Saccharomyces cerevisiae S288C: one gene and its partners. The gene in region 1 interacts genetically with each later gene. Each region holds a gene or a part of one and is shown on either strand. Other genes may lie near its edges.

Region 1 (4,980 bases):
GTGCCTTGCGTTTACTTTAACCTTTAGGAGAAAAAAATTTTCGGTGTTGGTTTCTTTTTTTCCTTTCGGTGCAAAACTGTGGAGGAAGATGGCAATAAATTAGTGAAACGGTAATGCCGTGTGGACTGCATATGCCGGATATAGCATTTATCAGTCACGACAGAGCTGATTATCCTTACTTGGGTGAAGTTGAAGTTGTTGTGATAAGGTTAGAATGCAAATGAAGCTTTGTCAGCGCTGAGAAAGAAAATTTTGTTTTGTGAGCCACTACTATCACGTGCCATTACCATTTTAATCAGTTATGAAATAGGGGAATGTGTCATTGAGGGAAAATGTAATGGCCACCAAATGAATCAGAGGGTCGGATGAGAACACACCCTTACTAACTGCTGTTCATATCTCACAGTTGCCATTGATAAGCTCTGGTGGGAAAATACCCTTGATTTTTGGTAGCACATATTGACATAACAAAAGTCTTGACTTTGCCAATTGGAGAGATGGCCACTTATAGAGGAAAATACTCGTAAAAATAATCATAAACAGTAAGCCATGTCAGTATCTTACAAGGGAACAATTTCTAAGACACATTCTGTTTTTAAACCAGAAAAAGGAAGGTATTATATTTACGGGGCCCTTGGGTGTCCATTCACTCATAGAGCCATTCTTGCCAGGTCTTTGAAGAAATTAGAACCTGTTCTAGGGCTTGTGTTATCTCACTGGCAATTAGACTCCAAGGGTGCCCGTTTCTTACCTGCTCCACACCGGCCGGAAAAATATAAAGAGAGATTCTTTACTGCCACTGGTGGCATTGCTTCAGCTAAATTAGACGAATCTGAGGAGTTAGGTGATGTGAACAATGACTCTGCAAGGTTGTTCGTGGATGGCGCTTTCGACCCGGTGGAAAATATATCAAGGTTAAGCGAGTTGTACTACTTAAATGATCCTAAGTACCCCGGTACAAAGTTCACTGTGCCTGTTCTGTGGGATTCTAAAACAAGGAAAATTGTTAACAATGAGAGTGGCGATATCATAAGAATTTTGAACAGTGGCGTGTTTGATGAATTTATCCAAAGCGAAGAAACGAACGTGATTGATCTAGTTCCGCATGATTTAATAGACGAGATTGATAAGAACATCAAATGGGTTCATCCGAAGATTAATCTTGGTGTCTATAAAGTCGGATTAGCAGAAAACGGAAAGATTTACGAAACTGAAGTAAAAACACTGTTTGAAAACTTGCAGAAGATGGAATGTGTACTAAAAGAAAATTATAAGCGCTTAGAGGAGCAATTCAGTGGTAACAAACAGAAAATCTTGGCTAAATATTTTGTTTTAGGACAGAGGTTAACTGAAGCGGATATCAGATTGTATCCATCAATAATTAGATTTGACGTCGTGTACGTGCAGCACTTCAAATGCAATTTGAAAACTATAAGGGATGGTTTCCCGTACCTTCATTTGTGGTTGATTAATCTATACTGGAATTACGCAGAGTTTAGATTTACTACAGATTTTAATCATATTAAGCTCTTTTACATCAGGATGGAAGTAAGTAGGAACAAGATCAATCAGTTTGGTATAGTGCCATTAGGCCCAAAGCCTGACATTTCTAGATTATGAAAACTTCTAATATTTTCTTACACACACATATATTTATATGCATGGCTATACTTCAAAAGAGGTTGTCACTTCCATTTCCATGTAGGTAAAACTCGTGTATAGACGGAACACAGACTTCCCTAGTTTTATTGACTTCATAGTCTCTGCACCATTCAATTATGTCTCTGTAAAAGAGACTCTTCTTTATATCGCCCTTTTCTATATTCTCCATCTCCAGTTCTTTGAAGCATTTTGCTTTTCTCGATTTATGACAACCACACGGTTTTACACTCTCCTCTCCATGTTCTACCATTTCATGCCTCCAGTCAAAAAATGGTTGACTGTATTCCCTACTTGAATCCATACTTGATTCAACAAGGTAGTTTCTCGAATTCTCAGGTAGTACTGCCACCCTCCTTAAACGTTTCTCTCTTTGTCTTGCTTCCTTTCTTTGTTCTATTTTTGGCGGAATGGTAAATTTCACAGGATTCTTGGATCCATTCTCATTTTCATTCAAGGCATTTAAGTCCAAGGAAAATAACCGTATGCTCACGTTGGACCCTTCAAACGTGAAACTATCTTCACTCAATATACTTCCTACACCGCATTGTTCCTCGTTACTACTTGAATCCTGTATATCTGAGAGAGAGGTAAAAAATGAGTAGGTATCTCTTTCCCCCTCACATTCGTAAGTGCCGACTTCTTTATTCAAACAGGCCTTTCCCATTTCTCAAAGACCTCTTTTCGTAACCTATTTAGTAATGATGAAAAGTATTAAACAGTATTTTCAAGATAAGAATTTTATTATTTTGTACCATTTACGATACACATAAACCCCAGAAAAAAACAACTTTATGGGAAAAGGCGAATAGTACTCATAATATACAAGGTAAAAGCAGGCGTATCTCAGTCATACAGTTCAATAGAGAAAGGCATTTTTGGAATATCATACATTTTATCTAGCAAGTGGAAACAGACTGTATATTCCCAAGAATCATCGCCTTTTTATCACAACGTCAGCCTCACAACTAATTCGCGTCAAAGCGCATTCATCCTCGACATTCTCAAACGCGAAATATCGTCGAAAAAGGTTAAAAAGAAAAGAGAGAAGGACAGAAAAAGAAAAAAGTAAAGTAGAGCTCGATCTCGAAAAAAAGAACCATTGCGTTCGTTCTTAACTACGCCAAGAAGTTTTTGAAATTTCATCCTCTCCACTGAACAATAATACTATTATTTAGTAACGATATAGAACATTTACATACAACGTTCTAATATTTTGGCTTCTATCATCGCTTAGAAATATTTGGCTAGGAAACATTAGGACTAATGAGAGACTATAAATTAGTAGTATTGGGTGCTGGTGGTGTCGGTAAATCCTGCTTAACCGTGCAGTTTGTACAGGGAGTTTATTTGGATACGTATGATCCAACGATCGAAGATTCTTACAGGAAAACCATCGAGATCGATAACAAGGTATTCGACCTGGAAATTTTAGATACAGCGGGTATAGCACAATTTACTGCAATGAGAGAATTATACATAAAGTCAGGAATGGGGTTCCTGTTGGTATATTCAGTAACAGATCGGCAATCTTTGGAAGAATTAATGGAGCTAAGAGAACAGGTCCTTAGGATCAAAGATTCCGATCGCGTTCCAATGGTTCTAATAGGTAACAAGGCTGATCTAATCAATGAAAGGGTAATAAGTGTGGAAGAAGGTATAGAGGTAAGCAGTAAATGGGGTAGAGTTCCCTTTTATGAAACAAGCGCTTTGTTGAGGAGCAATGTGGATGAAGTGTTCGTTGATTTAGTTAGGCAAATCATTCGGAATGAAATGGAAAGTGTTGCAGTTAAAGACGCAAGAAATCAAAGTCAACAATTTAGCAAAATCGAGTCTCCATCAACCAGGCTCCCTAGTTCTGCGAAACAGGATACGAAACAATCAAACAATAAGCAATCATCAAAAGGTTTATATAACAAATCTTCACAAGGACAAGCTAAAGTTAAACAATCTACTCCGGTTAATGAAAAGCACAAACCGTCACATGCCGTTCCGAAATCTGGTTCTAGCAACAGGACAGGAATTAGCGCTACTTCACAACAAAAGAAAAAGAAGAAAAACGCTTCCACTTGCACTATTCTATAGTCACTTAATTTTATTATAAATGAATCAAGATATCAGATAAAAAGACTTTACTTGAAATAGTTTTATTATAGTTCTAAAAGGTTTAGTTTAAAGTATTAGCATACGTTGTATAAGTTTTTAAAGAAATCAATTAATAATGTTTGAAAATAAATTTAAACCCAAAAAAAATGAAATGTTAAAAATATGGACGCAACCGGAATCGAACCGATGACCTCTTCCTTGCAAGGGAAGCGCGCTACCAACTGCGCCATGTGCCCGCAATCTATGGGATTTTACGGTAGATGCTGCGTTACGTATAAAAAATATTAAATGAACAGATCCACACTCTCGTAACTAAAGCTCACACTGTAGTTTCTTATAGTTTATGTTGATTGATATAATTAATTCAGAGGGTCTTTAGTCTCAGATATACTTCGCAATTACTTAAAAGAGTAATCGTTAATGTTTTCCCTCCAACATAGTCGTTATCGTTTAGCGTGCGTTATCAAGTTTCAACGATGACAAAATGATTGATTAATTAGTCCATTTTTCTTTCCTATCTAGTAAAATCAAAGTGTTTCTTCTCAACCTGAGATCTAACTCACTGTATTGATATTGAAAATCTGAGTAGTCTTCTAAAAAGCACAGAAATTAGGCCGATGTTTTCGACTTCATATCTCGTCGTGAGGCTGTTTCGCACGCCTTTTATTTGTTTAGATCGGACATTTAGGGTGATTCATATCAGGTCATATTGCGGCATCTCATCTCAAGAATAAAATAGAATTACTGTGTTTGACAATGGTCTATCGTCCACTGATGGAACAAAAGTCGGGAGCAATTCTTGTAAATGGAAGAATACAAAATGGCCACCAGTAGCGGTGAAAATGGTTTAGTAGTCATCCCTCCTTTAATACGAAACATTCAGTGGGTCTCCGTGAACGTCTCTATTCTATTTTCGATAATCGATCCACTGACTCTCAGGCGCTTCTTATATTATCTTTCTCGATATTATAAATCAGCCGATACAGGGTTACACCAAGTGTCTTTACATAATCCTGACTATCATGACCTACTTCCAATCTTATCATCTAAATGACTGTACATTCGTTCTTCTCTCATAATGCTTGCTTGCTTGTGAAAAATGGGTGAATAATTGCATTATTGTTGGGATTCCACTGTTGATAAAGATCACATATAACATTATGGATAAGGAATATACTAGAAACTCTCCTCCAGAACATAGCGCCCACAAAAGGG
Region 2 (4,842 bases), on another chromosome or scaffold:
TATTTTACGAGAAACCTTGGATGCTGCCAAATGTGGTATATCAACCAGCGTTGGTATAAGTCTCGTAAGTGAATTAATTGAGTTTAGTACTTGTTATAATGATGTACTAGCTTCATACCCCCTCTTTTTTTCGGGCTAATGGGAGTAATGGCATGGCCCAGATTGCTTGTGGCCGAGGCAGTGAAAAGTCGCGATGAGTTGAAAAATTTTTTTGCGATGAGGGAAAAGCGATTAACTCGGTGAAATTTCATCTGGTTCGTAATTGGGTGTCAGTTTACGTACGCTTTGGATAATATAATATATGTACGGCTTGCGTTGCAGTGTGAAACTGTTTCAATTTATTACATGCAATTTATTCTCTTTGTACTGGGACGTTCTTTTCTCTTGTAGAAAATTAACAACATCGTGTTACATAAACTTGGTTACCGCATACTGCAACCTCATATAAATACAACATAGGAAAGAAATGGCTGCCGGTGTCCCAAAAATTGATGCGTTAGAATCTTTGGGCAATCCTTTGGAGGATGCCAAGAGAGCTGCAGCATACAGAGCAGTTGATGAAAATTTAAAATTTGATGATCACAAAATTATTGGAATTGGTAGTGGTAGCACAGTGGTTTATGTTGCCGAAAGAATTGGACAATATTTGCATGACCCTAAATTTTATGAAGTAGCGTCTAAATTCATTTGCATTCCAACAGGATTCCAATCAAGAAACTTGATTTTGGATAACAAGTTGCAATTAGGCTCCATTGAACAGTATCCTCGCATTGATATAGCGTTTGACGGTGCTGATGAAGTGGATGAGAATTTACAATTAATTAAAGGTGGTGGTGCTTGTCTATTTCAAGAAAAATTGGTTAGTACTAGTGCTAAAACCTTCATTGTCGTTGCTGATTCAAGAAAAAAGTCACCAAAACATTTAGGTAAGAACTGGAGGCAAGGTGTTCCCATTGAAATTGTACCTTCCTCATACGTGAGGGTCAAGAATGATCTATTAGAACAATTGCATGCTGAAAAAGTTGACATCAGACAAGGAGGTTCTGCTAAAGCAGGTCCTGTTGTAACTGACAATAATAACTTCATTATCGATGCGGATTTCGGTGAAATTTCCGATCCAAGAAAATTGCATAGAGAAATCAAACTGTTAGTGGGCGTGGTGGAAACAGGTTTATTCATCGACAACGCTTCAAAAGCCTACTTCGGTAATTCTGACGGTAGTGTTGAAGTTACCGAAAAGTGAGCAGATCAAAGGCAAAGACAGAAACCGTAGTAAAGGTTGACTTTTCACAACAGTGTCTCCATTTTTTATATTGTATTATTAAAGCTATTTAGTTATTTGGATACTGTTTTTTTTCCAGAAGTTTTCTTTTTAGTAAAGTACAATCCAGTAAAAATGAAGGATGAACAATCGGTGTATGCAGATTCAACACCAATAAATGCAATGTTTATTTCTTTGGAACGTTTGTGTTGTTCGAAATCCAGGATAATCCTTCAACAAGACCCTGTCCGGATAAGGCGTTACTACCGATGACACACCAAGGTTGGTTTTTCAAATTTTTCTCCAGTTCTAAAAAATCGGAAACCTCTTGAGGTTTCATTGCATCTTTCAAATCTTGTTTGTTTGCCCATACCAGCAGTACTACATTCTCCATCTCTTTCTCACCTATGATACTATATAACTCTTCTTTGGCCTCTTCCATACGGTTTCTAGCACTAGAATCTATCACAAAGATAAGTGCGGTGGTGGCTGGAAAATAATGTCTCCAGAGAGGTCTCAATCTTTGTTGTCCTCCTACATCCCACATGTTGAATTTTACGTTTTTATAAGTAACGGTTTCCACGTTAAAACCGACAGTGGGAGTAGACGTCTTTATTTTATTTAATTTTAGTTTGTACAATATTGTTGTCTTACCAGCCTTATCCAGGCCTAGCATCAAAATTTTCATTTCTTTCGAGCCAAATAGTTTTCCCAGAACCTTCGAAATTGAATTGCCCATCTCTACAATTAGCTTGTCTTTTCCTTTTTTCCGTTCTAAATCCCAATTATCTTCCCAATGTCAAAGCAACTGTAATGTCTCAGTCTAATTCAGCGTACGTTGCGTCTTACTATGCTTCTGCAAATAGGGTTTTAATGCTGCGTACATCTTCATTATCTTATAAGTGCCATCATTCGGACGGGTAATGGATGAAATCGTCAAAACCCGATTACTTTCTAGTATGTTTTATTTCTGTTTATAATGTAGTCAAAAGAGCTTCAACAGATTTAACATTTGCTTCCGTAAACTTGGTGTTAGGGTGATTCAGTTCTGTGTAAAAGCGTGTGGCATTGAGTTACTCCAATGGATTTTTCTATTCCTCCTACCTTACCTCTAGATCTGCAAAGTCGGTTAAATGAGTTAATTCAAGACTATAAGGATGAAAATCTAACAAGAAAGGGTTATGAGACCAAAAGAAAACAATTGCTAGACAAATTTGAAATCTCCCAAATGAGGCCTTATACCCCGCTTCGATCTCCCAATTCGAGAAAGTCGAAACATTTGCACAGAAGAAATACAAGTCTTGCATCATCCATTACGTCGTTACCTAATTCAATTGACAGACGTCATTCTATCTATCGTGTCACAACTATAAACTCGACTTCTGCGAACAATACTCCCAGAAGGCGGAGCAAGAGATATACAGCTTCTTTGCAATCGTCATTGCCAGGTTCCAGTGATGAAAACGGTTCAGTGAAGGATGCCGTTTATAATCCTATGATACCATTACTACCAAGACACACTGGAGCCGAAAATACTAGCAGTGGAGACTCAGCAATGACGGATTCTTTACCGCTAATTTTACGGGGACGCTTTGAACATTATGATGGTCAAACAGCGATGATCAGCATAAATTCTAAAGGCAAAGAAACGTTCATCACATGGGATAAACTTTATTTGAAAGCGGAGAGGGTAGCACATGAATTGAATAAGAGTCACCTTTACAAAATGGATAAGATTTTACTATGGTACAATAAAAATGATGTCATCGAATTTACTATTGCATTATTAGGCTGTTTCATATCCGGCATGGCAGCTGTACCAGTCTCATTCGAAACGTATTCTCTGCGTGAGATCCTTGAGATAATTAAAGTAACAAATTCGAAATTTGTTCTGATTTCTAACGCATGTCATAGACAATTAGATAACTTGTATTCGTCATCAAATCATTCAAAAGTTAAACTGGTTAAGAACGATGTTTTCCAGCAAATCAAATTTGTCAAGACTGATGACTTAGGGACGTACACAAAGGCAAAAAAAACTTCGCCTACCTTTGATATACCGAATATTTCATATATAGAGTTTACTAGAACACCGCTAGGTCGTCTTTCTGGCGTCGTCATGAAGCATAACATCTTAATAAACCAATTTGAAACGATGACAAAAATTCTAAACTCACGATCAATGCCTCACTGGAAACAAAAATCACAAAGCATCAGGAAGCCATTTCACAAAAAAATTATGGCAACCAACTCAAGGTTTGTTATCTTGAATAGTCTGGACCCTACTAGATCTACTGGTTTGATAATGGGTGTGCTTTTCAATCTTTTTACTGGTAATCTTATGATATCTATCGATAGTAGTATATTACAACGACCTGGGGGCTATGAAAATATCATTGATAAATTTAGAGCCGACATTTTACTGAATGATCAGCTACAATTGAAGCAGGTAGTTATTAATTATTTGGAAAATCCCGAATCAGCTTTTTCCAAGAAGCACAAAATAGATTTCAGTTGCATCAAGTCATGTTTAACCTCATGTACCACTATAGATACCGATGTAAGCGAGATGGTTGTTCATAAATGGCTGAAAAATTTAGGATGTATTGATGCACCATTTTGTTATTCTCCCATGTTAACGTTATTGGACTTTGGTGGTATCTTTATATCTATAAGAGATCAATTAGGAAACCTAGAGAACTTTCCAATACATAATTCAAAACTAAGGCTTCAAAATGAATTGTTTATAAACCGCGAGAAATTGAAGCTTAATGAGGTTGAATGTAGCATAACTGCTATGATTAATTCATCAAGCTCCTTCAAAGATTATCTTAAATTAGAAACATTTGGCTTCCCAATTCCTGATATCACTTTATGTGTGGTTAATCCAGATACGAATACGTTGGTGCAAGACCTCACTGTTGGAGAAATATGGATCTCTTCTAACCACATCACCGACGAATTTTACCAGATGGATAAAGTGAACGAATTTGTGTTCAAAGCAAAACTAAATTACTCCGAAATGTTTTCTTGGGCAAAGTATGAAATGCCTACTAACGAAAAATCGCAAGCAGTTACTGAACAATTGGATACCATTCTGAATATTTGTCCTGCAAATACCTACTTTATGAGAACCAAGCTTATGGGGTTTGTTCATAACGGAAAGATATACGTGCTTTCACTCATAGAAGATATGTTTTTACAGAATAGATTAATCAGATTACCTAACTGGGCTCACACATCAAACCTTCTTTATGCCAAAAAAGGGAATCAATCTGCTCAACCTAAAGGTAACACTGGAGCAGAAAGCACTAAGGCTATTGATATTTCGAGTTTAAGTGGCGAAACATCTTCGGGATACAAAAGAGTTGTTGAATCCCACTATCTACAACAGATTACTGAAACAGTTGTGAGGACAGTAAATACAGTTTTTGAGGTTGCTGCATTTGAATTACAACACCATAAAGAAGAGCACTTTTTAGTTATGGTGGTAGAAAGCTCCCTAGCAAAAACCGAAGAAGAGAGTAAAAATGGCGAAACAACAGATACTACCTTAATGAAATTTGCAGAAACACAGAGGA
Region 3 (6,821 bases), on another chromosome or scaffold:
ATGAAAATGTATTATTGGTGCGAATGGCGCTAAATACAGAGGTTTTTTTTTCTCCATTCCACCCTTAGAAGTTTCTTGTTCAATTCTCATTTTAACTGTTGCGTTTGTTATCGATTAATGTGTTCTGAACTCGAGTAAAAGAACAGGTGTGTGTGCTAAGTAAGAAGAATTATTACATTTACCCAACATGAGGATGGAAAAAACAACAGACAAACCACTTTCTGCAGGAGATATGAACGATGAATATTCTCGGGGTCCAATCGACGATATAGACTGTTTGAACTTTTTCGAAAGGGCTGTTCAGGACCCATGTTGTGAGGCCTGTGACACAGAAGATGCAGATGAAGAACTGAGAGCAAAGCTTAGTAGCTTCAATTTTCAGCCTGATTCATCTCCGTGTAATGCTAAATGTCAACAGACACTGAATCCACTGTGTAAAATAGATGAAGCACTCCCAGCGGAGTCAGAATTAGCTCCATCGAGAAACGGCTCAGTATCTGAGGCAAATTCTGATACAAATTCCATAGCTTCTACTGTCCATGACCCTGTCGACTCCAAATATGGAGGCATGCCTAGCTTGAGAAAGGCCAAAACAACGTCGTACTTTACTTCATCTTCATCGAACAATACCACAATGAGGAACCCGCTAAAAAAATGTAATACCAATATAAATGGCCTTTTAGTGAACGGAAGGAGCTCAAGCTCCTCCAGACAGTCTATACCAGAGCTCTTTAGCGGTGCGTGTACTAAAAAGAAAAACAACGTATTACTGAAAAGTGAAACACCCAATTCAGAATTCTCTAGTAACTCACTTCAACATTGCAACTCAAGGTCGTTTTCTCTACCCAGGTCAAGATCAAGGTCTTCTGCCATTGCCATACCAACACATTTGTATGGCTTGGAAAAGTACGTTTCACCTGGGTTGGATACTTTGACTGCTGACCCAGAAGAAAGTATTGAAAGGTTTTCAAATAATCGGCCCCGTGAAATATCATCGTGTTGTCCGAACGATACAGGGGACACCTCCTCATCATTATCACATTCGAACACTTCCTCATCACTAAATTTCCCTTTAGGTACAAATACAAATCAATTCCACCAACCAAGGCAGCCAGTACAACAGCAACAGTCTTCGAAACCAAACTTTGGTGCTGGGAGGAAAAAATCTTTCATTGAGATGTCACTAGCAAGTTCCTTTGCAGGCTAACATTCTCGCCACCTTGGAATAACCGTATGATGTTCAACTTTGTTATTTATTTCCACATTCTGGATCGCCATCTGTTCGTTTTTATTAAATATAATATATACCCATTTGTATCTCCTGTTTGGTTTCCAAATTTCCATATACTTATCGCTGTCTATCATCTCCTCTCGAAGCATTTTTTTATATACTATATTATGAGAAATCTTTCTGAAAAATTATGAATTACTTTTTTCTGCTGATAGTACAACCCGCTATATACTGTTACAAGTAGTGAATAAAGAAGTAAAAAAAAAAAAACTTTCAAAGGAAAGAATATGAAGTGAACATTTTTTTCTACGATTAAGATCCCCCTGTTTCTTTTTTCTTTTTGAACCATCTTGTCAGCTTACGGGAATTTTGTTCTTTAGGAACATCTGCGTTAGGAGGTTTCCTCATTATCCTAGATAACTTTGTCGGGGAAAATCTATTCCCCAAGTTACCTTTACCTTGCGAGTTTGGAAGCGTCAAGTAATCATCCTTGGCTCCATTTTCCGATGATGTTCCATGTACCGATGTTTTGTTGCTACTCTTGGGATTCTCATCACTTACATCAATAGTCAAAAATTTACAGTAACTATCTCCAACTGTGTTATTGGATTTACTAGAGACACCTTTTGTGAAGAATTTCTGCAATCTTGCGGAAGAGTTTTCATTTGTTGGTTTATTTAGTAGTTTAAGAACAATTTCTTTTCCCTCCTTTATTTCTTCATAAAAAATTTTATGTGAGAGTGAAATGGAGTATTTTTTGTCTTCAAACAAAGTGCTGGAAGCACATTCATAACCTGACAACCGTTTTCTAATATGATTAATCCTATTATAGAGTAAACATGACTCTTGCTCCAATTCTTTCATTGCATGCTTTTCCTCTTCTGCTTTCGGGATTATAGAATTAAATTTGATGCCTGAATTAGCGCCATTATCCAAATCTCTGCTTCTGGAACCTACATCATCGCTTTTCAGTAGGTTCATTAAATCATCTCCGAAGATCTCCGTGTTGTTTTCAGTTATTTTCTCAAATTCTAACTCTCCAATTTCTGGCTTAACCTCAATTGGTGAATCCAAATCTTTTTTATCCACAGACAAATTTAGGCTGCTACCGCTTAACAGGCCCTCCTCTTCGATTAATTCTCCCTTCCCACCATTATCCATGTGATTGTATTTTTCCATCTTGGTCATATCTTCCTGACTGAAATTAACAATCAAGTTAACAAACTCAGTTTCTCTCAAATTCTTATCAAGCAGATAAGGAATCTGAGGCAAATCATCCAACATCGTTTGTTCAATGGCCAATTTGGGTCTCGAAATAGTAGAACTTAGGTTCAATATCTTTGAATTAAAATCTAGTTTCTTTTGCGTCATTTTATCAATGTAATCTAATAAGTCATTGTGTCTTTTATCGATAAAGTTATTCATCTTCATTAGCCAGGGCTCTTTGTTTGCAAACTGCGTCAAAGTGGACAGATTAAGTAAAACTTTACTTATTAGGGTAAGATTCCTTCTTGCTGTTTCGTTTAAATTTTGAGAAACATATTTGAATAGCTTAGGGTTTAATATGACTGGACAAAAAAACCTTAAAAACAATAATCCTGATATACCATTCAAAATTATTTGCAAAGTGTCATCGATACAAATTATCTCTAGTTTTTGCCTAAAGATTTTTAAAACATTTCTTATTTCAATCGGCAGGTCATTACTCGTTGCATACAGCCTTTTCCAAATCTTCGTAACCCAAGAATACAATCGTTTGTAGTTGTCGGCAATTATTTTCCTCTTTTTTACTTCATCTTTTTCTTTTACTCTAGCAGGATCCAATTCACATGATTTGTTTGACTCAATGATCTCTTTTAGTATTGCACTAAGCGCTTTACTCAAATATTCATTACCCACTCTGAAAAAGTACTGTTCAATCGACTTTGTTAAGATAGAGTTACCACGGAATAAACTGTTGAAAACATGCTTTGAGTCTAAATTTTTCTGGTTTATTCTTGAAACCGTTCCATCAATTTTAGCCAATTCTTTGTCTATAAGGACGTGGAACCATTCTTCTATTCTTGACAAAGATTGGAATATATCGAGAAAAATTATGGATGTTTGCGTCAATTTGTTATCATTCTCCATTGATGAAGAAGATTTGTAAATTAGATTGGAAACCATGGACAAGTTTGCGTTCATCAAAAGTTTTTCCAATTTAACGAAATTGGTTGACGGTAAAATGAAGTTCAAATTTGAAGAAATTTTAATACAGATTGTTCCTATTTGAAAATTTTTGTTATCAACGTCCATGATGGGTAGTCTTGTTTCCTTATTATATCTTGTATCATTTATTATTTCTTGTGTGATTTTTATTTTGCCTATCAATCGTAACCGTTTTTTATTATTGAGATCGTGGAATAACTGCTTGATTTCCAGATAAGAATTAGTAAGTCTTAAAAGTTCATTGAACTGAAACTCTTCTCTCCAAAATGGATTAGAGGAGTTTGAAACCATGGATGTTCTAGCCCATGTATGGCCCCAGGCCGTTATGTCTGTGAATATTGACCATGGCGTATTATTCTTGTCATTTAAATTGATTGACTGAAAATTAGCTTCCAGTATGGAAATTTTAAAGCTATTCGATATCTTCATATCATTTGATTTATCTGAGCCAGTAATAGATAAGTATTCCGACCTAGCGAACGATTGTAACGCTATAAAACAATCCTCCAGGTCTATTCTTAAGGGAAACTCTACAATAATTTCTTGAGAAATATCACTAGAGTTGGTGGCAGCACTGGCAATATTTTCTATGCGAAACTTTTCGAGGCCCAACTGGCTCCTTAGTAATGGCAATTCACCTAAAAACAAACTGTTTTCACTTTGTAAAACAGATGAATCCAGAATTCTTATCTCTGATCTTAAAAGCTGGCTAATATTCAATGAGTAAATCAGAGAGCCGTCACTCTGTAAAAGAAGATCTAGCATGCCGTTTGATTTAAGCACCCCCATAGCGGAAAACCAACCTACGCTGTTGTCATCATTATTAATTATATCAGGGCTTTCTAAAATATTTGTTGCTGGCGGAAGGACGATGTTCTTAACGATGGGCCCAAAAACATTCAATTTGTAAACCAGCAAACTTTCTGGTTTCGCCATTTTTTTGCTTTTAAATTCTAGAGGTCGCGATACTTGAAACTTATTAAATATACCATTTGTCTTCATTGAGCTCCACCAGATCAGACATGTTAGCAATTTCTTGAAATCACTCCAACTTTTAACTCGCAGGTAAACTTTATTATCTTTACCTGAGGTGTTTACTTGGATTATAAAATTACAATTTGCATTAATATCCTTAAAAGAGGAATGCTTATCCTTAATAATCTCGATTCTACATTGCTGTAGATGTTTGATAATTGGCTGAATATTAGTAGAGTCTGCTGTTAACTCATCGATTGAGTGGGTTAGTGCACCTGTACTGGTAATTTGCAGATAGTGTGTCTTCCAGTCGTTTAAGGACAGGTTATTACACCACTGAATCTCACCCTTAAAGGTATTCTTGTAATGCTTAACGTTGGACAAAAATTCATTCAATTTGAAATATGATGTTCGACTTTGGGCCGGTTCATTGTTGGAGCTCATAATATGATACAATCAAAGATAAACACCACGACGTATGCACGGATAAAGTTTTCAGTCTGACCGAGTAGTTATTCCTACTATTTTGTTGTTTCTTCCTCCGTTTTCATAAATGGCGTTTGTTTGGATACCTTTCTTTTTTATCGAACAGAACGCGTTCAAGAATGAAAGTCATTAATTATTATTAGATACAGAGATATACATATTATAGAGTATGCATGCTATATTCACGGAAAGCTACGACGAAGGCCTGTATCATAGTTAGCTGGTAACAGTAAATTTACCAAAAATGTTGGGAATTTCACCTTCTGGTCCGATGTATCTAGGGTCTCTCCAGGGACCAATATCGGAATAGTAGAACTTATCATTAGGGTTGTGCAAGACAGATGTACCACCATATTTAACAGGCAAGTTCTCGATTGGAATTTGTTTTAATAATTCCTTTTTATAAGAAGAGCCAAGAATAAAGATTTTTGACACGGTTACTGGATCCAAGAAGGGTTTAACCATCTTGAACATCGTCGAGAAACCAAATGGACTGTGTATAATATAAAACTTACCCATTCTTTCAGGATAATAATTTTGACTGATATCTGCAACATCTTTAATATAGGAAAGCACATGATAAGCATTAGAAAGTGAGATACCCTTCAAGTCCAGCACAGTGCACGAAGTTTCAATAAGGTAGCCAGCTCTTCTCGAACACGCTGGGACCCGGTACGTGGCAAATAATTCGTACTCCTTGACTAAGTTTCTTAGCATCTGTTTTTCGGTAGTGATCTTGTACATTTTCTTTAAGTTAATTCCTCCTAGTTCTTCGAAGTACAATGGTCTCCCATCCTTATCAACGTGATGGTAATACTGAGGGTACATTTTGGCCAATTTGATTCTTTCTTTGTCTTCGGCTTCCTTGTTGTTTTCATAATCCTCGATAATAGTGTTGGCACCGTATTCTTCCCTCCATCGTTCAGTTTCTACAAACATCTCAACGCTAGCATTGATATCAAATTTCCTTGCCCGTAGAAATCGCAATAGCGTAGAATCATCCAGCCTTTCTTTGTAATTCTTTTCTAACAAGATTGACCTAAATTGCAAAAGCGCTTCCTCTTGCTCCTTAGTCAAATTGCCGGGAGTACCTGGCAAAGCATTGGGGGAGCATATTTGAGGATAAGTATCGAGTATGCTGGTTGTCATTCTTCCTTTCCAGTTTTAACAGTGCGCAAATGTATTGCTTTTCAGATTTATTTCCCCGTTATACAAGTTCAAGGAAATGTTTGAGTAGAGAGAATCACGATCTAAATAATAATCCGAAGAATTTAAAAAGGAGTAAATAGGGGCATACAAGAGGGGGAATTTCAGAAGTGCCTGTTATGTAAAAAAGATATGATAACACATAATGGATTGCATACCAGTAAATTTCCATATGTACTATGCCGACCTCTTTTCATGTAAACGCCTTGCAAATTCATACTTAATGATTACAAGAAAGTAATATGTAAATTTTAAGCTCAGGTTCAAGGTTTATAAGGGCCTTCGTCTCTGATAGAAGAATCAAGTTGGTAAATCCAAATGGAAGTACGGGTCCCAATAGCAGGTTTGATTTTTGAAGGTGACTCGAGATATATCAGCTGCCGCCCCTGAATCAGCAGTAATTATAACTGAAGAGAACGGACAATGTTTTACGTATAATTAAGGCACATAAATTCCATCTGGAGTGTTCTGAAGTCGCTTACTTGGTGAGATATTGAGGTGTCATCAGATAGGACAATAGTAGGAGAAAGGACCATCTGGAGGTTAATCACCTGTTGTCTTACTATCCGGTCCTCAGGGTCCATAAAAAAATACTTTCAACAAAATCTGGATGCATTGAAAAGGTTGTTTTCAAACAGTCTGCAGTTTGTAATTCACCCACATGCCTTTTTTTGTATTCATATTAGCTTTTCTTGCATAATTAGGGACATATAAA
Region 4 (5,533 bases), on another chromosome or scaffold:
ACCATCTTCACATCAATGGCATTCAAAGTAAGAAACAGGGCAGGGATAAAAGGATAGATAGCAATGGACATGGCCAACCAGTTGCTAGATGAATTAGCACATGGAAATTTTTCCCACCTAACGCTAAACTTGTCCCAAAATGGTAGGGAAATTGCTATCTTACAGAAGCAATTGACCGGATTTGATGATAAACAGCTAGAAACGTTTGTAGAACAACACCCGGCTATGCCCAATGATACGAGATTCAAAATCATGTGTACATCCTTTTTAAATTATGCCCGAGATGTCGACCCATGGTCAGCCTGGTCCAGTTCGGATCTAATTTTTGAGTTTTATCAATGTTTAATCAACTGTCTCATCAACGACAATGCTCCTCACATAGAAATGTTGATACCAGTAGCAACTAGAGAAACAGAATTTATCATCAATCTCGCTGGGAAACTAGACTCTTTCCACTTGCAACTGCATACGAGAAGTCACCAATTTCTATCACATATATCGTCCATCCTATCAAGACTATTTAACAGCATCAAACCTCCACGAGGTAACGCATCTTCTACAAATATACCTGGAAAACAACGAATACTGCTCTACCTGGTCAATAAACTAAATAACATCTACTTCAGGATCGAGTCACCGCAATTATGTTCCAATATCTTTAAGAACTTTCAGCCAAAAAGCATGCTTGCACATTTCAACGAATACCAGCTCGACCAGCAAATAGAATACAGATATCTATTAGGAAGGTACTACTTGTTGAACTCTCAAGTACATAATGCCTTCGTTCAATTCAATGAAGCTTTCCAGTCCTTATTGAACTTGCCGTTAACGAACCAAGCGATCACTAGGAATGGCACCAGAATACTAAATTACATGATCCCTACAGGGCTGATACTGGGAAAGATGGTCAAATGGGGACCGTTGCGACCGTTCCTTTCCCAAGAAACAATTGATAATTGGAGTGTTCTCTACAAACACGTACGTTATGGGAATATTCAAGGCGTGAGTCTCTGGCTGAGACAAAACGAGCGTCATTTGTGTGCAAGACAGTTACTGATCGTGCTCCTAGAGAAACTGCCCATGGTAACGTACAGAAATCTGATTAAAACGGTAATAAAGTCCTGGACCACCGAATGGGGTCAGAACAAATTACCGTACTCCTTGATAGAACGGGTACTACAGCTATCTATTGGTCCGACATTCGAGGATCCCGGCGCCCAGGAAATTACCATTTATAATGGCATTCACTCCCCCAAGAACGTCGAAAACGTACTTGTGACACTGATTAACTTGGGACTTTTACGCGCAAACTGTTTCCCACAGTTACAACTGTGTGTAGTGAAAAAGACTACAATGATACAAGAGATTGTTCCGCCGGTTAATGAACGAATCACCAAGATGTTTCCTGCCCATTCTCACGTTCTTTGGTGATATGTAGATATATATAGGAAATAGAAGAGAAGGAGCGACATTATGCTGTTTCTTACAGATTTCATAAGAGACTAGATTTTAAGTATATTTAGGATATATAAGAAAGGCGAAATTTGTAAAAAAAGAACAGGAGGAAAAAAGGGAGTACACTTTAAAAAGGAGCACATAAATGCACAATATGTTTCCAGCACTCACAAAGACACTGTCGTTGCAAGGCTACAAGATTATCAACTCTCAAACAGGGTCCGCTGCATGGTCGTGCGGTCGTAGGTGGTTTAGTAGTGATAAAGATGACCACGACGATGTGGTGACGAGGATTAAAATTGCCCCCATAAAGAGAACTAACGAGCCATTGGATAAGAAAAGAGCTCGGTTGATATATCAATCACGCAAAAGAGGGATCTTGGAGACGGACTTGCTGCTATCTGGGTTCGCTGCCAAATATTTGAAGAAGATGAACGAAGAGGAACTGGAAGAATACGATTCGCTATTGAATGAGTTGGACTGGGACATATACTATTGGGCCACAAAAAATTTCAAAACCAGCCCCTTGCCTGACAAGTGGGCCAATTCTAAATTGCTGAAGCAGCTACAAGAATTCAGTGAAAATAAAGAGAAGGAAATTTTAAGTATGCCGGACTTGTCCAAGTATCAATGAATACAAGCCATTGAATTACTATCACTTTTTTTTATTTGTATATGACTTGTAAATAAACCGGAAGAGAAAGAAACTTATATATTACCACTATACTATACTATACTTATTGCTATTATTATTATTCATTATTAGTATTATAATATATTATTGATATTGATATTGATATTGTTATTGTTATTGTTACTACCACTGTTACTATTACTATTATTATTGTTGTTGCACCATCAAAACCCTTCAAGAGCCTTTGTAGCTTTGTCTAATCTTTTCAGTCCTTCTTCATAGCGGTCCGGATCAAGAACCATGTCTGCTGTTAACCTGGACAAAGAGTCTACTAGTCTCTCCAGGGCACGTTTCTCCTCAATTTTCATCCCCAGTTGCGCAAATTCAGACCCGATTAAGGTTCCCTTTGTCACACTCAACAGTTGATTTAGTGTGTCGATATCAAAGGATCGCAATTCCTTCACAGATTTTTTTTTATTGAGCTTTTTTTTCGTATCCTTCTTGAGTTTAGTTTTCTTGGGCGTTTCCTCAATGATGTCCTCGTACATGTCATCATCTTGTTTGTTTGTCGAAGTAGAGGTATGATTTGCCCTATCATGAATAGCCTTCAATGTGTCGTCACGTTTCAAATTCGATGTAACTCTGCTATCCTCATTGGGTGTGCTGGGCAATGGTCTTGTCAAGTAAGTCTCTTCCTCTGGAGGCATACTCGTTGCCGCAGAATAGTAAGATTCCGATTTTTGTTCACTAACTGTGGAAATCTGAGATGAGTTCTTATAGTGGCCACCAGGTTGGACCGGCGTTGGTAATATTTCTTCGGTTAAAAGATCCCCCTCGCCATCACCTTCTTCGATGAACAACCTTGACCTAGGACGGTCCTTACTTCTGGGCGGAATAGTTGGATTGTAGTCATTGGTTTCAGAACGTATTGGGTTTATCGCTTTGGGTGCTTCGTTGGTGGTTGTATACAACTCGGGTATGACACTGGAAACAATTGAAAGCTTATCGCTAACATTTCCTTCCTCTTCTTCTTCGAGCTGCTCTTGAATAGATTGATGGAATTTGGTATTATAAGTGGAAGATCCGCTCTCGCTGGCCAAATTACCTGATCCTATAGAGGAACGCATAACTTTTTCCTGACGTAGAGGACTAGATAACAGTTTCAGTGAGCCACGACCCTCTACTTTTTTTGAAGTGTTAGAGTTAAACCTTCCCACAGGTTTGGCATTAGTAACTGGTTTAATGACAATTTCGTCTGCATTGGTATTCGATTTTGTGCTTTGGTTATCACTTAGATGTTTTGTCAATGTCGCTTCTGAAGGCAACATGGGCAACGACGGTAACTCGTTCTTGCTCACGGGCTCTTTCAAGGAGTACAAACTATTGGAATCCTTACTTGTGCGCCGTTCTTGGGTCTGTTGCCGGTTTTTGACCACATATGATACTTCAACGCCTTCTTGAATAATTCCAGAGTAGTTGGAAATCATACTTGATCTGTTATCACCAGGTGGCAGCGAAACGTCACCAGCAGGTGATCTCAACAATCTCGATGGTGGTTTAAAGACATCACTTTGATCCGCCTTTTCCTCTGTGATCATTGTCCTGGTAGTTGTGGGAGATGGAAAGAGCCTGTCATCTTTCTCATTGTTCAGTGAATCGATCATTGCTGAAAGTCGCTGCGTATTCAGCGTAGCCCTAGATATCCCGTTTTCTTCCCTCTCTTCTGACATACTTATACACCTATCTGGTTTTGATAATGGTCTTCTTGTTAGTCGAATATATCAGCGTTCTTTCTCTTCTTGATGGTGCCAGCCATTTGATCAAAAGATCGCTTTTCCGAATCGGGACATGTAACAAACAATAACAATTAAAATAAACAATATTATGAAAAAATACTGGTAAAAAGCATGTACTGAGGAGAAAGGCTCCAGCATCCCTTGAGCAAAATGAGTAGGAATCAAGATGTGTTCCCCATTTTGGATCTACAGGAACTAGTTATATGTTTGCAAAGCTGTGATTTTGCGCTAGCCACACAGGAAAATATCTCTAGGCCCACCTCAGACTACATGGTAACCCTTTACAAACAAATCATCGAGAACTTCATGGGTATTTCTGTAGAGTCGTTGCTGAATAGTAGTAACCAAGAAACAGGGGATGGTCACTTACAGGAAGAGAACGAGAACATTTATTTGGACACGTTAAATGTTTTGGTATTGAACAAAATCTGCTTTAAGTTCTTTGAGAACATAGGTGTTCAAGATTTCAATATGACAGATTTGTACAAGCCCGAAGCCCAACGGACACAGCGCTTACTGAGTGCTGTGGTGAATTACGCTCGTTTTAGGGAGGAACGAATGTTCGACTGTAATTCTTTTATTCTTCAAATGGAATCGTTGCTGGGTCAGCTTCGCTCCAAATTCGATGATTATAACTTGATTCAGCAACAGCTAAAGCAATACGAGGACGTAGATGGGGATAATATACCTGATGAGCAAGAGCTCCAAAAGCTGGAAGAGCAAAATAAGGAGCTGGAAATTCAGTTGAAGAAATTGACCAAGATCCAAGAAACGTTATCCATAGATTATAATGACTATAAGATCTCCAAGCAGTCAATCTTTAAAGATCTGGAAGCTCTGAGTTTCCAAATAGTGGAATTAGAGTCCAATCGAGATAAACTGATCAAAATATCCAATACAGACATGGAAGAGTTATCCGAGGGAATCAAAGAGCTAAATGATCTGTTGATACAAAGGAAAAAGACGTTAGACGACTTAACCGCACAACAGAAAAACTTGCAAGATACAGTGACGACGTTCGAAACCATAATTAGTGAGCTCTATGATGTGCTGAGAATAATTTCCAGCGAGGTGCAAGAGTCTAATCGAACTGAAACGGAACTTGTGGGATTAAAGCAAAATTTAATCAACAATAAGCTGAAATTGATGAATGTATTGGAAACAGGTATTATGTATAAATTAGAAATCTTACAAGAACAGTTAGATTTGCAACTCAAGAATTTGGAAAAGCTATCGCAAGATACTAAAGAAGAGTCGCGCCTAAATGATACTAAATTGATGGATCTACAAATCAAATATGAAAATGAAATCAAACCTAAGATTGACAAAACGGACATTTTCATTCAAGAGGAACTGATCAGTGGTAAAATCAATAAATTAAATGATGAAATTAAACAATTACAAAAAGATTTCGAAGTTGAAGTTAAAGAAATTGAGATTGAATATTCTTTATTATCTGGTCATATTAATAAATACATGAATGAAATGCTCGAATATATGCAATAGCAGCGGTATACTTATTTTTACTCCCCCTTCTGTGTTTTCTTCTTTTTTTTTTTTTTTTTTTTTTTGGAATTTACTGTTGTTTCTTTCGTGGCTGTTTCTTAATCTTATACGTACCTTTATCTATTTCCGTACAGTTGTAATC

The links.
Region 2: of RSR1 (region 1) and ARF3, changing one suppresses a phenotype caused by changing the other (phenotypic suppression), as found in Saccharomyces cerevisiae (one study listed by BioGRID).
Region 3: of RSR1 (region 1) and BUD2, changing one suppresses a phenotype caused by changing the other (phenotypic suppression), as found in Saccharomyces cerevisiae (one study listed by BioGRID).
Region 4: of RSR1 (region 1) and NBA1, a mutation in one rescues a mutant of the other (synthetic rescue), as found in Saccharomyces cerevisiae (one study listed by BioGRID).

Annotation. Positions count from the first base shown.
Region 1 is NC_001139.9:793,438-798,417, reverse strand, and holds RSR1 (Ras family GTPase RSR1), read left to right. Parts: upstream 1-2,925; coding exon 2,926-3,744; downstream 3,745-4,980. Other genes in the region: GTO1 (omega-class glutathione transferase), read left to right, coding at 550-1,620; YGR153W (uncharacterized protein), read right to left, coding at 1,673-2,326. UniProt on the Saccharomyces cerevisiae protein: Ras-related protein which binds GDP/GTP and possesses intrinsic GTPase activity. Involved in development of cell polarity during the cell division cycle, and essential for bud emergence.
Region 2 is NC_001147.6:499,953-504,794, reverse strand, and holds ARF3 (Arf family GTPase ARF3), read right to left. Parts: upstream 2,001-4,842; coding exon 1,449-2,000; downstream 1-1,448. Other genes in the region: ribose-5-phosphate isomerase RKI1, read left to right, coding at 467-1,243; CMR2 (Cmr2p), read left to right, coding at 2,343-4,842. UniProt on the Saccharomyces cerevisiae protein: GTP-binding protein involved in protein trafficking; may modulate vesicle budding and uncoating within the Golgi apparatus.
Region 3 is NC_001143.9:264,602-271,422, forward strand, and holds BUD2 (GTPase-activating protein BUD2), read right to left. Parts: upstream 4,859-6,821; coding exon 1,544-4,858; downstream 1-1,543. Other genes in the region: MBR1 (Mbr1p), read left to right, coding at 188-1,207; YKL091C (phosphatidylinositol/phosphatidylcholine-binding protein), read right to left, coding at 5,117-6,049. UniProt on the Saccharomyces cerevisiae protein: Stimulates the GTPase activity of BUD1/RSR1. Participates in the regulation of bud-site selection.
Region 4 is NC_001147.6:194,907-200,439, forward strand, and holds NBA1 (Nba1p), read right to left. Parts: upstream 3,820-5,533; coding exon 2,314-3,819; downstream 1-2,313. Other genes in the region: THP1 (Thp1p), read left to right, coding at 64-1,431; succinate dehydrogenase assembly factor SDH5, read left to right, coding at 1,601-2,089; kinetochore-associated Ndc80 complex subunit NUF2, read left to right, coding at 4,036-5,391; histone deacetylase HST1, read right to left, coding at 5,462-5,533.